Ovis aries: one gene and its partner. The protein of the gene in region 1 purifies or fractionates together with the protein of each later gene. This does not show direct contact. Links are inferred from orthologs where the notes say so. Each region holds a gene or a part of one and is shown on either strand. Other genes may lie near its edges. The genes, in order: MAF and USP5.

Evidence for each region.
Region 2: the proteins of MAF (region 1) and USP5 purify together in Homo sapiens (affinity purification with western blotting; 3 studies listed by BioGRID, with this or other methods). This does not show direct contact. The link is inferred for Ovis aries from reciprocal best matches to the Homo sapiens genes MAF and USP5.

The regions. Positions count from the first base shown.
Region 1 is NC_056067.1:6,019,563-6,024,046, forward strand, and holds the start of MAF (transcription factor Maf), read right to left. Parts: upstream 2,815-4,484; 5' UTR 1,931-2,814; coding exon 791-1,930; 3' UTR 1-790.
Region 2 is NC_056056.1:209,426,872-209,430,671, forward strand, and holds part of USP5 (ubiquitin carboxyl-terminal hydrolase 5), read right to left. Parts: intron 3,487-3,800; coding exon 3,415-3,486; intron 3,150-3,414; coding exon 3,062-3,149; intron 2,930-3,061; coding exon 2,804-2,929; intron 2,289-2,803; exon of another isoform or gene 2,216-2,288; intron 1,949-2,215; coding exon 1,795-1,948; intron 1,483-1,794; coding exon 1,308-1,482; intron 686-1,307; coding exon 597-685; intron 1-596. UniProt on the Homo sapiens protein: Deubiquitinating enzyme that participates in a wide range of cellular processes by specifically cleaving isopeptide bonds between ubiquitin and substrate proteins or ubiquitin itself.

The DNA of each region.
Region 1 (4,484 bases):
AAACTCACGAGTCACACCCAGAAGGTTGATGCAGGCTTGATTGTGGCAGGTTCATGAGGATTTTTTTCCCTCTATTTTAGCATAACAATGCTCAAAAAACCCCGATGGAACTCAGCACGCTGCAAGTCTATAACATTTCACATTTTTTTTTCCTTTGCAAGCTCAATCTCATATGAAGAACTCAGGAGGAGAAAAAAACTTAGCCTTTTTTTTTTCTTTTATCTCAAAAGAGATGGGTGGCAAGGGGGTGAGGGTGGAGGATGGGGGGGTGGTGAGTTAGGGGCAACACAGCAAGCTCCAAAAACTCAAAGTTCTTTAAAAAAAAAATCCAAACAAAATAAAACACACACACACAGAAAATGAACACCAGCTCATGAACTGAAGAAAAAAAAATACGTGAATGATGCAGGCTTCAAAGGTGAGCATGAGGAACTCTGTTGAGATCTTTGAACATTGAGCAAGTGAAAGGGGTGGGGGGGGGGATGTTAAAAAAAAAAAAGCCAGCAAGTTATGGAGAATTTCAGATTGGCAATCCATGAGCCAGACCACCAGCCCCTCCCCGACTCAAAAACAGCCGCCACCACCACCATCATCTCGGAGCAGTGTGTGTGTGTGTGTGTGTGTGCGCGCGTGTGTGTGTGCGCGTGCAGGGGGCAACTGGGGGGGGCAAGTTGGGGAGGGGAGGGGGCGAGGTGGTGGCGAGCAAGGCGCTTGGAGCTGCAAGCCCACACCCGAGTCGGACCCCCACGGAGCGCGTAGCAAGGGGGCGAGCTGGGGCCGCGTGTCAGACTCACATGAAAAACTCGGGAGAGGACGGGTTGTCGCTGCTCGAGCCGTTTTCTCGGAAGCCGCTGCTCACCAGCTTCTCGTACTTCTCCTTGTACGCGTCCCTCTCGCGCACCAGCCTGGAGATCTCCTGCTTGAGGTGGTCGACCTGCTGCAGCAGCTGGTTCTTCTCGGACTCCAGGACGTGCCTCTGCTGCACCCGCTTGAAGCGGCAGGACTGGGCATAGCCGCGGTTTTTCAGGGTCCGCCTTTTCTGCTTCAGCCGAATCACCTCCTCCTTGCTGACCCCGCGCAGCTGCCGGTTCAGCTCGCGCACCGACATGGTCACCAGCTGCTCGTCGGAGAAGCGGTCGTCGAAGTGCAGGCCGCCGGCCGCGGCGTGATGAGGGTGCAGGGCGCCCCCCGCCCCCGCCGCGCCCCCGCCGCCGCCGCCGCCGCCCCCGCCGCCGCCGCCGCCCCCGGCGCTGGCCGGGCCGCCCGAGCCGCCGCCCGAGCCGCCCGCGCCCCCGGCCGAGGCGGACGCGCTGCCCGCGGCGCCCGGCGCGCCGGCCGTCGGGTGGTGGTGGTGGCCGGCGGCGTGGTGGTGGTGGTGGTGGTGGTGGTAATGCGGCGCCGCGCCGCTCTGCGCGGCGGCCGCGGCGATCACGGCGGACACCACGGCGGCGGCGGGGCCCATCTCCTCGCCGCTGCCGCCCAGGGAGGCGCCGGCGCCGGCCCCGGCCGCCGAGCCCAGCTGCTGCGCCCCGCGCGCGTAGCCATCGAAGCCGCCCTGGAGCTGGTGGCTGTTGCTGATGAGCGCCTCGACCGCGTCCTCGGGGCTGAAGCCCAGCGCCTCGGGGTTCAGCTGCTGCGGGTAGCCGGTCATCCAGTAGTAATCTTCCAGGTGCGCCTTCTGCTCGCTGCCTGAGCCCGGGCTGGGCGCCGAGAAGCTGGGCGAAGGCGGCACCGAGCTGCACGGCGTGCTCATGGGGGTGGAGGACAGTGAGCCCCCGGCGATGAGACGGCCGCACTGGCTGATGATGCGGTCGGTCTCCACCGGCTCCTTTTTCACTTCAAACTTCATCAGATCGAAGTCATTAACATATTCCATGGCCAGGGGACTGGTGGGCAGGTCGGAGTTGCTCATTGCCAGTTCCGATGCCATTCTCCTGCCGCCGCCGCCGCCGCCGCCGCCGCCGCCGCTCCGCCAGATGGGCTGCAGGAGAGGGGCCAGCGGGCTGTGCTGGGTGGCCAGCGGGTGAGCCAGCTTGCCGGGCTGGGGCGCTTCTAGCTTGCGCGGCGGTGGCTGGCCCGAAACCTCCGAGCGCGCACACACACACACACACACACCCCCGCCGCCCTGCCCGCGCCCCCCGCGCCCGCCCTCCCTCCCCCCCGCCCCGGCTCACGCCAATGTGCTCGCTCGCTCGCCCCGGCCCCTCCTCGCCTGCTCGCCTCCTAGCGCGCCGAGTCGGCGGCTTCAGGCTCGGGAAGGTCCTCCGCGGGCTGCGGTGGCGGTGGCGGCGGCGGCGGCGAAGCCGGAGGAGCCCGGCTGGGTGCGCGGCGTCCCCCGCTCGCCGCTCCGCTGCGCGCTTTGCATAAGGAGGGCTCGGCTCGGCTTGCTGGCCCCGGCTGCAGGCGGGGCGCGCGCGGCTGCCGTTCGGGGCTGCAGGCGCGGCGGGCGGCTGTCCGGGCGGCGCAGGCCTTGGCACCGGGGAGTTAACACTTCATGCTTCTCGCCTCCTCTTCTGCCTGGCTCTTTTTTAATTTAAAAAAAAATTTTTTTTTTCTCTCCTCTCGCTCAACCTCGCGCTCTTCCTCCCTCCGTGCAAAGTGCAAGACAGAGGTGCAGCCGGGCTGGAGGAAAGGGGGGGGGGGGAGTTGAGTTCTTTCTTGCTTTTTTTTTTTTCTTTTAAAGCGAAATAGCGAAGTCCTGGGGAAAAGGCGAGGCGCAGAGCAAAAGAGGGGAGACCGCGCAGACGAGCAGCCGGAGCTATACGGCTCGAAGATGAAAAAAAAAAGATTTTAAAGCCTCTGATCCAGCAAGAAGAGTTTAAAGCTATTGCTGAGTTTTATAGCACTCGTGACGTCAGGCCCAAATGGGAAATTGACTGGTACTCCGGACCAATGGGAGGCAGCGGGAGCGCCCGCGATTAGCATAGGAGTCGAGAAACAAGGAAACTTTTCCGAGCTGTCAATCAGGGCCCAATCAGCTGACTGTCAGCTGGGACGGGCAGTCTTAACCCTTCCCAAGCCGCAGCCTCCGCGCGAGGTTGCAAAGACCAGAGCAAAGTTTGGTGCAAGAGGGGACGGAGTTTTCCGGAGGGGCTGCGGGAACCCGGGTGGACAGCGAGGACGGTTTGCTTTACTTCGGAGCTAGAGAGGCCTGCCTTCCGGAGCCCCAGCTCGCCTGCCACTCGCTCGGCCACGGTTGGCCTGCTCCCCGCCAACTCCTTCCTGACCGCCCCCCCCACCCCCGACACACACCCCCGCAAGGATCGTGAATTCGCCTGGCAGCTTTTTCTCCTTGCTCCACCTTAGGGCACCCAGGTTTCCGCCCGGGGGGAACCTTCCTTCCCCGGTGCCTGGCAATGCCCCGAGCGCAAACTTGGCCCCAACTCTTTGTCCCTCTCCCCGGTGCCCGCGCGCACCCGCGCGCGTGGGGGCGCAGGGGTCCCCACTGCGCGCTTGACCTCGCCCGGCCGCGCGCTTGCCAGGGCGGCTCCAAGTCCGCGGAGAGAGAGAGCCCGTTTTATCAGCCTCTTTTAAAGGATTTGAAATGAGTTGCTCAGGGGCCATTCCGCGCGGGGGCTGGCTGCCCGCTGGCTTCTCCCGTCCTTGGCTGGGGGGTGCGAACGCGAATTAACTCCGGGAAAGCTCGGTGTCAGGTCAGCCCGGCTCCTCACCCTCGGGCCTCTGACTCTGGCCCGAGTCTGGCCTTTGAGGCTCACTTCTCTTTCTCACACACACACGCACATACTCATCCACCCCCTTATGAAACCTGACTCCTGTTTATCAGGGTCCTGCGCGCCCTTTGCACTTTTACATTTCGCTTAATTATTTCAGACTTGATCGTGGGGAGGAACGGGGGCGAAAAAAGAACCAATAGCCCAGCCTTCACCAGCTCCCCTCGAAGGGTTAAGTTTTAAACCGCGGTTTCTGGGACGGGTCCGGAAACCCAGAGTGGGGGATGGGGAGGACGGGAGTAGGGGCTGCTTCTCCCCCTTGGGGGTGTTGCAGATGCTAATAACTAACTGTTCAGTTTTCTCGATCGATTCTTCTAAATCTTTGCAAAAAAAAAAAAAAGAAAAAGAAAGAAAAGAAAAAGGAAGGAAAAAAAAAAAAAGAAAGAAAGAACCAGCAACTCTGTTTCTAAGATTTTAAAGCGATAGGCCAGATGGAGAAGCCGAGATTTATTTGAGGGAAAGCAAGAGGGCGCGGAGCCGACCCAGCGTTTGGAAGACCAGCCTGCCTGCCTGGATGTTGGACTGTTGATTCCTCCAATTAATGAAATGCACTTGGTGTTAATCATATTTATCTTATTTTATGGGAGGGGGAGACGCTAGGAGGGTGCATTAAAAAAAAAAATCTGAAAAGCCTGCAGAACGGTCGAAGAGGGAAAACTATTGTTGGACCGAGTTGGTTCTTACCTCAACAGCGCCACCTTTCGGCAAAGGTCAGTTGAAATTGATCCGTGTCCAGTTTTGTTGATGAAATGA
Region 2 (3,800 bases), on another chromosome or scaffold:
CAAGTGAACAGGATTCCAGTCTTAGATCTACCACTAATGAGCCACGAGCCAGAGAGGGGTCTCTGACTATGCCACCGAACGATTCTATACTTCCATGGGACTCAACTTCTCTAGGAAATGAAGCTAGTTCTGGGGTTGGCAAAGTTGTCAGGGGCCTGTGAGACCCGTGAAAACAAACTATTTCAAGATTATCAGAATGAAAACATCTTACCAACTGTATAAAACTATGAAAACCACTTTTGCTTGTGTAAGTCATAACTATAAAATCAAAGAAGTCTTAAACATCAATGTCCTACTGTATAGCACAGCACACTGTACTCAATATCCTATGATAAATCATAACAAAAAATTTAAAAAGGAATATATATGTATTTAATATAACTGAATAGCTTTGCTCTATAGCAGTAATTAACACCATGTTGTAAGTCAATGATACTTCAATTAAAAAACGTAGTTAAAATTTTTTTTTAAATCAAAGTCTTAATAATGTTTCCCCTTTCAGAGGAAAGCTGAAGAAGCACTAGTTTACATGTCAAGGCCCCTTCTTTTTCTAGCATTTTCTGCGTAACCTCCCTTGCTCGTCCCGGCAACCATACCCAGTTTCTTGGGCACCCAGTCCAAGCCAAAGGTGAACTTCTTGATCTGGATGACCAGGTAGTCAGGGAATGAGGCAAATCGTGTGGTCCTAGAGAAGAGAGAATGGCCTGGTACCCAGAGAAGCTGTCCTGAAAGCCCCACCCGGGTCCAGCCTCATAGGTAGAAGAACTAACCACACTAAAGATAATTTCATATTCCTTTCCTGCCCTGGACAGGCATCAAGAGTGTCTGCAGACGAACAGTAGCAGAAGGTAGGAAGTAGGGGAATGGGGGTTCTTAGGGGCAGGAGCAGCAAAGGGGCAGGTGGCTGAAATCTCGGAGACCAAAGCACTTTCTCAGATCTCAAGTTTACGCCAGTGACGGGTGAGCAAAAAGTAAGACTATGTGCTAAAAATCTCAGTTCTGTCCACCACTGTTCCTAAGTGCCCATGCTCTGCCAGCCCTGGGGAAGTGAGCAGACAGAGGCTTCCTGAAAAGTGACCCCATCCACCCCAAGAGAGGAAAAAGACTGGCAGGGGCAGGTCAAGGTAACATGTAGCAGTTATCCAAGTCCACTCCTGCCAGGCCCTCTCGGTTCCCCTCAGGCCCCAGGTTACCTGCCTCAGCTGATGGAAGCCTGAGTTCTGACCACAAAGGGATGAGAGGATGCAAAAGAGGCTGACAGCATCTCGGGGAGGACCCTGACGGAGGCCGGGACCCATAGGACTTACTTGACAGCGACTGACTTGGCCTGCAGGGCTGTGCTCCAGAAGTCGTCCACCTGCTCGGGGGCGCTGTAGGCCTCCAGGCAGGAGCTGAAGGGCACCTGGGCCCGAACCAGCTCAGGCAGAGGCAGCTTCTCCTCTTCAGCTTGCCGCTTCTTCTCCTCATACTCTAGAAGCTCCTCTGGTGACAGAAGCAAGTGGGTGGACCCTTCAGAGGGGCCGAGCCACATCCCCGCTCATCCCTGGCCTACTGCCTCTGAGTCCACGGCTATCTCAGCTCCTCTGCTTCCCCAAACCCACCAGACACACGTCTGCCTGTAACCTGGCCTCTTTCTCAGCACGGCTCAGCTGACCAGCTGTGCGCAAGGTTAATCCCACACCCTGGCCTGGTTGGTAAGCAGGGATACTGTGGGCTCTGCTCCTGAAAGGCACCCAAGCCCCATCGCTGCCAGGCTTCAGACCCCAGGCCCCGGGAGGGTAGCAGAGCACCCACCTTTGTTCATGGCCGCATCCATGGGCACGGGCAGCTGCATAATGTAGTCCACTCGCTGGGTGTACTTCACCTTCTCTGTGGCCAGGCACTTGATCTTTTCCTCCACCAGGAAGCGGAACACTTCGTTAGGATTTTCAGAGCTCCGGCAATTCCTCTATGGGGAAGAGGCAGGGTGGGGAGGTCTGGACAGCCAAGCACTGGGGTGGGGGCCTACAAGAGTCACTGGGGAGTCAGGGAGAGAAGGGAGTGGAAGGGAGAGGGGCACAAAGAGGTGCAGGGATGGGAGACCAGAGCAGAAACCTTCCCTCATCAACCCGCCAGTTCCGGCCCATCCTGGCACTGCAGGACTGCGTGGGAAAGTGCCTGTACTTTCTTTTTTGAATGTGGACCTCCTTTTGAAAAAAAGTCTTTATTGGGGACTTCCCTGGTGGTCCAGTGGCTAAGACTCAGCATTCCCAATGCAGGGGGCCCAGGTTCGATCCCTGGCTGGGGAACTGGATACCACTTGTGGAAACGAATAAGAGTTCACATGCCACAATGAAAGATCAAAGATCCCCTGTGCTGCAACTAAGACCAGCACAGCCAAGTCAATAAATATTAAAAAAGAAAAAAGGTATTTATTGAATTTGTTACAGTATTGCTTGTTTCTGGTTTCTTGGCCTGGAGGATCCTAGGTTCCCAACCAGGGATTGATACTGCACCCGCCTGTGCTGGAAGGCGAAGTCTCAACCACTGAACCACCAGGGAAGTCCCCTGTACTTTCTTTCTAAGCACTAAGCACTCGCCTATCATTTTCTTTGGGAGCATCCTTCATCAGGCTGTATGCATAACAAGTGTCCTCAAGTGCAAACGCCACTCTCAGGAAAGGCTCAGTGCTTGGGGTCACTGGGGTGGGGCTGGGCTGGGGCTGACAGAGGAGGAGGAACAGGTGAGCAGCGGGAAGAAGGGAGTGAACTGAAGTGCAGGTAGACAGGAGGAGAATGAATACCCCCACCTTCCCTGTCCTCACCTCCACCATGTTGATAAGGTGCAGGAAGAACTCTTGGGCATCCTGCTGCCGGTTGGTGGAGAACTCGGGGTGACCCTTGCCAATGAGGGCCTTGAACATCCGAGGGGCAATGCCATCTTGGACTTCCTAGGCAGAGTTGGGGCAGCCATTCAGCCGGGGCCCGAGAGGCCACCAAGTGGCCTTCTTTAGACGCCTCCCACATGGATCTCAGTTTCCCCACCATTCCACAGCCTGAGAAGGATGGAGGTCCAGACCCACCTTCTGCTCCATTACCTGCTCCCCATCACCCGACTCTGGTGCTGGCTTGGAATACTCCCCCGAGAGCAGGCCGTGGCCCAGCTTGGCCCTGTGTCATCACCCAAGAGAACCATTTAGCTTCCGTCTGACACCACCAATCTAGCCCTTACCTCCCCAACTTGACCCCTGCTCAAACCCCCTTAGACAACTCTCTTAAATGTGAACCACCTTAGATTCCATGGGAACCCAACTCAAGGCAGACAGCATGCTTGCAAGATAGCAACTGGAAAGTGTCTAGCTGGCCAGAGGCTACACTGTTGCTCACTTCAGGGGGTCATGGAAGAGAAAGAGGGCACACAGGCCCGGCTACGTACACCTGGGTGCTGAAGTCCTGGGTGGGGTCCGTTGGGGCGTTCTGGAAGATCTTTTCCAGCTTATCCACGTACCTGAGCCAAGGGAAGGATCACTGAAGGGGCTGCGGCCAGGCCCAGAGGAAAAGGGAAGGGAGCATTCATCTACCAGTTCAGGGAACAGGTCCCTCCAAAGTGGGGAGACATGTGTTTGACACTTGGGGTCCACGTCTTTCCAGCAATTCACCTTCCCTCCCCTTCCCAAACAGGTGAGCATGCAGGGTACACAAGCCTCTGCCCCAAGACGGAGCTACAGGATGGTAGAAGACACTCAGGAGGATAAATACAGTTCATGTTCTTTGAATAGAACGTGTCGATATGTTCTAAATTTTCACGTGTGTCTCAGGCCT